Linked DNA regions of Styela clava. The protein of the gene in region 1 interacts with the protein of each later gene in a pairwise test. Links are inferred from orthologs where the notes say so. Each region holds a gene or a part of one and is shown in the gene's direction. Other genes may lie near its edges.

Region 1 (3,935 bases):
AGTTGCTGAACGTTTCTGGTTGTGAGGTCGCGAATATCTGTAGTCTTTGATTTTATGAAAAATGGGGTCATGAAAAAAAAGTTTGGGAACCACTGAATTAGGTAGGCTACTTATATGGTGCGAGATAAACACATTGCCTAATGAACAGCTAAAACCATCGATAACAAATCGAATAAAAATATATCGCTTAATAAAAAGAAAAACTGCTGGTACAATCTTGAAAAGTTTTGAAAAGGTTGACTGTGAACTAAAGAATCATAGTGTCAAATGATTTTGGCATTTTAGTGGTCGCCCGTTGAGGGAGTTTTCGTGAACTTTCTCTGAGAAAATATTCTTCAAAAACACGCAGGCGAGTAGCACAGATACTTCAAGCTTGCGATTACATGCTTAATTTCAGTTTTTCAAAAGCGCCGTATACAATGAAACTATATTGCTTACCATGAGTATACCTAGCTTCACAATCCTGGAAAACGCATTTCAATGGCGGACAGCACCGGTACTTTGAGCTTGCGGTTTCAGGCTGGGTTCCGGCACTTCTTCCGACTTATGCGACACTAGACTTTCATATGGTTGAGTACATTTTCCTTTTCAAAGTTTTGGAGCTATATATCGTAACTACACGAGTTTCAAACGGCAAACTTACAGCGGCGACCTAACCACACGCATGGTCGAGGTCGCAAAGCGGGAAGGGACGAAAAGATAATTCAGGCAATGGTAAATACATTATTGCATCATAATCTGTTATTGGAATAATGGTGTAAAAATTGCGTCAATAAATTTTGGTTTGGGTAATATTGTCATTTGGAATAAATTCTAAAATGACTTATTAGCATTTGGGTGTAGTTTGAATGATATTCAGCAGCCTGATTAGATGTTGTTCGTTCATTGAATTTAGCCAAAATAGGCTCGTTAGCGCCCTCATAAACCATTCCACGTTCCAGTACCGTCGCTCGGGTTTTGCAGGTTTGTTTCGTTTGTATTTTCCAGTTTGTGCAAAATGCCACTTTACCAGACGCTTTTCGCCGTTGTTTTGGATATTGGACAAGCTTATACTAAAGTTGGATTTGCTGGCGAGTCATCTCCAAGAGCTATAATTCCCACGTCGCTAAAGACCGAAGGTACGTTAACAGTAGGGTGGCCATATTTCCAAATCCTAAAAGGAGGACACATCGTTTGGTACACCTGTGCCTGAGATATACGGTATACGTCATATATCTACCTAAATTCTCTAGTATTAAAAATAAAAGCGACAATAGACGATGTGACGACAATGCAATAATGCATTCTTGTCTTGTCAACGAGCAACTACGGGTACCAGGTACCGGTATAGCCGCAAGTACCGTAATGTACCGGTACCGTACTCCGCTTCGCTATCAGTTTTATCTTTTCTAAATCTAGCATGGATACTTGAGTCAAACATTTTGGTGTAAATCATTTATGATATGACGTAAAAGATAGGCTAATTGCAGTAACGATTTTTACATGATAAAGTATGCATTTAACCGAGCGCAGTGGTTCTTAAAGTCTTAACTTTTGCAGGTCTGCCAAACCCTGAGCGCTATTGTGCACGACCGAGGGCGCGAGCGAATTCAATTTTGCACGCCCAAAATTTGCAATTGCTCACCAATGAAAATCAGTATAAATGGTTTTTAAATCAATATTACAGTAATATAATGATGTCAACAAATTGTAGCTCCACAATTGTTGACTAGGGTGGTGTAGCCAGTCTGCGGACAATTTCATTCAAACCGCTATAAAACAAAAACCAATATTTCTAACCTGTTAATTTTTTCACAGTAGGTGCATGGGCATTTCTTCTACACGCTAAACCTCGAATTAACTTTCTACGACCAGGGGTTAAAGCTATACAAACCACCAAAGTACGACACTCTGAAGACCTATTTGCGACCGAACGACCAGTGTGCGACCACGGATTTCAAGCCTTGAACATCATTTCTGCTGCGTCAAGACTAGGGCATACGCAGCCATGCGTGAAAAAAATTAGCTTCTAATTGCATTTCTGACTGTCATATATTTTAAGAACAAGGTTATTTCGAACAAAACTCGTCAAATTATAAACAAAACACCGCATTACAGCAATCAAACGAACAAAAACACGGTGGTCGCAAATTGGTCGACAATGCTATTATCGACGTATTGGAAATGCGCACCCCCCTATTCCCCCTCCTTTGAATGTAGAAACGCGAAACTTCAAAGATGGTTAAAAGAAACAGAACTCTACCCACCTGCCAAGTTTCATCTTTTTATCTCTTAAATTTGTATGGATTTTCGAGCTTTTTCAAAGGGATAATGGGTAGTTGGCGACATGGAAAAATGGTCCGTTTTTTTTCTTCGGTCGGGTTTTCGGTCGTAACTTTTTTGTTTGTGGCCGCATTTTAATGTAATTTCGCAGAGCTACGAGGGATAAGTGGCTGATAACGCGTGAGAAATATCGTCTCGGTTCGTTATTTTTTTCGGCATTAATTTAATCGATGAAGTTGATGGTCGCAAATAGGTCTTGGCCGCAAAGTGGGTAAGCCACCCTACATACTAGCTTGCAAGATTTGGCCTGATCGAAAAATGCGAAGCAAGAAATCCACATTTCATAATTGCTTGGCGGTAAGGCCCATCGTGTTGAAGGAATCCCGTGAGACTAGTTATGGGCAAAAAGATCGCCAGACTCCTTGACGACGCTGGTCAATTACGGCTCTGATTCAGCGTATTGTTTATCCAATAATTTTACGCAAAAACACTCCCAACATTAATGTCAAAGTATAGAAATAATGTTTACGGGTCAAGGGTCAAATGCCCATTTTTGCTTTGATTCAACGTATTTTTTACATACATACATACATTCAACAAATTTTTATTCAATAATTTTACAAGGATGTACTGAACAGTACCAGTATCCAAAGTCGCACAAACACTCAAAATTAATGACAAAGTATAGAAACAAATTTTGGGGGTCAAAGGTCAAACGTCCCTTTTTGCTCTGATTCAACGTATTTTTTGTCCAATAATTTTACACAGATATATTGAGCAATCTGAAGTCAAATTCTGTTGCACGCGAGCGCAGTCTTTTTGCACGCAGGAATTTCTGATTGCTCGCCTGATTTCTCGTTCAAAAAGGCCATGAAATCCAGACTGGCCTATATAGTATCCCAACGCAATGTATTGCTTGTCATATGTGAATTGATAATTACAAGTTGCTATTTACGTTGAAATTTTCTTAACCCATCAAAAAATGTAGATTATGTCACAAGAGAATTTCAAATATTAAATTCCCTTGAAAAAGGAGGACATTTTGACCTTTTAGAGCAGGGATTCCCAAACCAGGGGTCGCGATCCCAAATTGGGTCGGGATGATAAATAGGTAGGGTCGCAAACAGGTCATGGGGTCGCTGAGCTATGGTAGAGGATGGATGTACAAAACATCTAAGATTTGAAAAACCATGTTAAATTTAGCAGTGTTTACCATGGCTTACTGTAAAACAGGCCAGGCCCATAGGCATCCCTCTATGCTTATGCTATAGAAAATGTACCGGTAGATGTTCATTGTGACATCACTGTTTGGTTTTAGCTTATTTTACTTAATACCACCACATGACCAAACTCAAAAGTCCAGTGAAAGGAGCTCGACTAAAGTTTCATAAAAAATATATATATTGACCTGAGGTCGCACTGGACACTTGAAAGTTGTCTTTGGGGTCGTCCTGAAAAAAGCTTGGGAACCCCTGTTTTAGAGCGTCCTCGGGGGACATAAAATTTTGAACAAAAAAGGAGGACGTATGGTCACCCTAGTTAACAGTAGTCTAATAGTAGAGCAACTGAGCAAGTATATTAACCGGTACCGTATCATAAGAAAGGGTAGGATTTACATATTTATCCCGTATTCAGGTATTAAACCTTCACAAAGGTTTTACCAGTTTCCCCAA
Region 2 (3,935 bases), on another chromosome or scaffold:
AGTACAGTTGATTGATCCTAGTATATAGGATACTGCAGCAAAATATGAATTCTACTATATCGAAGCATGGTTATAATATTATGGAATTCATCGGATTGCCAGGATGTTCGAATGTTGTACAAATTATGAAAGCTCGAGTCTTCTCTACGTGTTATATCACGGAATGCGTAGAATAAAAAATAGGGAGAAAAAAATAGGAATATCTTTATTGATATTATTATGACTCTTACATGATGAAAATAAATTTTGAATCTGAATCTGTGCTATTTATATGGCAGACCAGAAAGATTTGTTCATTCAACATAAATCGACATCATATACAGCATGTAAAATGTAATAAAAAATCGTATATTTTGTACATCCATTCACTACTCTCTGTTTCTATTGACATGTTTTAATACTTAATTTTATATATTTCACTTGCATTTTGGTTTATTTTCAAATTTAGATGTTATGATCTCCCTCTTCTGGCAACGCTTATATGCTGTTTCCAAGTAATGGCTATAACGAAAACAGCTGCAGCTTTGGTTGGTAGAATGTCACTCTATATACGGGAACAATCTCTCACAAACAAACAAAAAAACATATTTTATTTTTAATGCTTGAATAATTTTATTATAATTGTTATAGCATTAATTTCATCGAGGGCTAATTTTGTTTGGTAAGGCATCACAAAATTTCGACTCAAGTATGCTCCCAGTGGTCAAAAAACTCAACGTGATTTTCAGTTAGCAGCATGGCCCCTTTCGCAGTTTTTATGCTTTTCTTGTGTAGTTATATTTTTGTATTTGCCAACTTTGTTCTTCGATCAGGTGTCCGAGTTGCTTTTTAAAATAAATCCTTCTTTGTTTAGTAATTTTTATCCATCAATTTAAATAAATATAAATTAAAATGAATCCTGAACGACTGGCCCAACTTCAAAAAGACGTCAGAATTGGCGGAAAGGTGAGTTTCAGCTGTCCGCTCAGCTGTTCTAACCTGAAATGAGCTAGATTATATTAATGTGATTTAATCACACTAATCAAACAATTACAGGATTGGGTGGTAACAGTATACTGGTAGACTATAGCATATAGTCGGACAGTAGTGGACTGCAACAGCAAACAGTTTCTCAGTTCCAGCTGCTGCTACTTCTTTAGGCCTACTTTCTCAGTTTTTGCTGCCCTATTACAGTATTACATGTCTCGAAAATACATTTTTCAGGTTTTCCATTTGGCTCATTTTTGTTTTCCCACAAGGTATATCTGTATATCCTACTCATATTCGTGAGTATTATACGGAAAATAAGAAAGTGAGATATATTGCTGCACTCACAGACTCAGGCACTGGCATGTATAGACTTATGAGATTGTTTTGAGGCGTATGATTCTTGAAACCAGAATTCTACATCCATCGTTTTTTAATAATCTATGGAATCTCAAAATCTGTTGACTAAACAACAGCCTCTAATAAATTGTTATTCTAAATAGAATTAATTATTCCCCCCTTTTCAAAATATACTCGTACTATCCTTTATAGTGGCCTATTGACGATAATTCGTTGTTACCTCAATTTATTTTATCACATTCTTTTTCAGGGTTCGGCAAGGAGGAAACGAAAAGTTATTCATAAAACTGCAACAGCAGATGATAAAAAATTACAAGCAACACTGAAAAAATTGTCAGTAAACAGTATCCCAGGCATTGAAGAAGTATGTTCATCACTATATGGCTCCAAAATTTCTCGAGATTTGTAATTAGAAAATGTGTAATATGATGTTTGGAAAATTTCAGTCTCAGTACTAAACTGTGCAAAACACGGAAAACAAGTGTAAAACCAGACTTACTACTTACTGAGAATAGTGCAAAATACACAACTAGCTTCAAACACAGCAAAGCAAAATAGTTACACGATTTTGGCTCGGCGGTCTGGCACATCATGCTAAGTGTAAGAAATACGCTCGCCACCGCACCTCTGATTATCCTGCGTGGGTTCCCAGGTTTGAATATCATGCGGGAATAGTTATGTGTGAGAGGATTGCTGGACTCATCGCCGCCGTAGGGTGGTTCACGTAAGGTGACAGAATCACTGGTTGGTTACGGCTACCTCCACCATCAAGTCCATGCTTACAAAAACAAATAACTGGCTAACTAATCCCATAACAGACATTGACTGGTAGCCGGACGAGGTGCATGGTTTGCCATATGATTAAGCAGTCTCATCGACTTTCCTACCCACGGGATGAAATATGTAAATTCTGTTTTGTTGTTTTCTTCTGTTTGATAAGTTGTAAAACCGGAATATTATTTAGGTTATTGATTGTTTATCATGAATTGAAAATAGAAAAACACAAGATAATATTCATGTGTGTTTCATTAATTAACAGGTCAACATGATTAAGGATGATGGGACGGTTTTGCATTTCAACAATCCAAAAGTACAAGCAGCACCATCATCAAATATGTTTGCCATCACTGGACATGGAGAGAACAAAAGTGAGACATGTTTGTTTGCTTTATAATGTTGTCTTTGGAAGCAGTGTTTCAAATTACACTACAATTCCTAGATATTTTAAAGAGGGATGTGGCGTTCCATTTGTTATGTGAATTTTTTTTCATGAAAAAGTTATAGGCTACTTTGTGACTCTGTATACTGCATATCGATAATGTCATAATAATAAAAATAAAGTTATCAGCCAGTGCATCTAGAAAATGGCGTTTTGTATTTAAATTATAACTCTTAGTAACCAAATAGTGTTCAATGCAGGCATATTAAAATTGTGCAATGCTTCCCAATCGAGTTAGCGAGAAGTAACTGTAAATCCCTCACCCTGTTGTCTGTCAAAAGCATATTGAACTGACCCTCAAACTCTTCAGTGAACTTTATAATTGAACATTAGCAAGTAACGCGAAAGTACATTACCTAATTATTGTATGAGGCATACATTGCACGAGATGCCTAGGGGATTACTTTTCTTATCACAGATAAGCGGTTTTCTATCTAGATCTTTCTACTGATCAACTATTTTTATATAAAAATTAATTTTATATATGCTATAAATATTATGTGCATGAGGTGGCCTTGCTGATATTGCTCTTTAGATTCCCATGCAGATAATTATAAGTATAATTAATAAATTTTTCGTTTTCTTATTATAGAACTATCTGAGATGATACCAACAATTTTAAACCAACTGGTATGTTGTTTTATTCATTTTTATATATAATAAGTGCTCACAAATAGTACATTAGCAATTTGAAATTTCAGAATCATTTTTTCCTGAAAATGTTGAATACCAAATTTCATTCATTTAAGGTATAGAGATTTAGCTTTTCATTAACGATACTGTGTTGTGTGTAAATTTTCTAATAATTTATTTTTTCATACCTTTGCTGTGGTAATTTTTTATTATGCCTCAAAAAATACAGATCTTTTGTCTGTTCTAAGATTAATGCTTTTTATTAAGTATGAAATATAATATGATACAAACTTTAATGCTGCCAATTATCTCACAGGGATCTGAAAGTATGAATGCATTGAAAAAGAACGCTCCTATAAAACAGGACGGTACGGGTATGCCTGCTGTCCCGGAAGAGATTGATGAGGAAGACGTTCCAGGTATGAATTATTCCATTAAAAAATATGACTAAGCAGTCATAAGCAACCCTTCAATGTGATATCATCCATTTCCGTTTGTATACAGTTTTGAATCTTTTTTTGTATATTTATTTAATCCATCAGACTCTTTCCTTATAGGTCCTTCAAACCTTCAAGTTGAAGTTTCCATTGCTCATTCAAAATTTCATCTTTTTTCAGATCTTACCGAAAATTTTGACGAAGCGTCAAAGGATGAAGGAGTTTAAATTTTTATATTACTTGAAACACGGCAACAACGAAACAAACTTTCGGTCCTTGGCAATTAAGTCTAGTCAGCAGGCCTGCATATCATACAGCTG

What was found.
Region 2: the proteins of actin-related protein 10-like (region 1) and transcription factor BTF3 homolog 4-like interact in a two-hybrid assay, tested with the Drosophila melanogaster proteins (2 studies listed by BioGRID). The link is inferred for Styela clava from reciprocal best matches to the Drosophila melanogaster genes Arp10 and bic.

What each region holds. Positions count from the first base shown.
Region 1 is NC_135261.1:3,680,962-3,684,896, reverse strand, and holds the start of actin-related protein 10-like, read left to right. Parts: upstream 1-883; 5' UTR 884-997; coding exon 998-1,118; intron 1,119-3,935.
Region 2 is NC_135259.1:8,483,783-8,487,717, forward strand, and holds the start of transcription factor BTF3 homolog 4-like, read left to right. Parts: upstream 1-785; 5' UTR 786-891; coding exon 892-945; intron 946-1,576; coding exon 1,577-1,690; intron 1,691-2,365; coding exon 2,366-2,474; intron 2,475-3,137; coding exon 3,138-3,175; intron 3,176-3,494; coding exon 3,495-3,597; intron 3,598-3,795; coding exon 3,796-3,842; 3' UTR 3,843-3,935.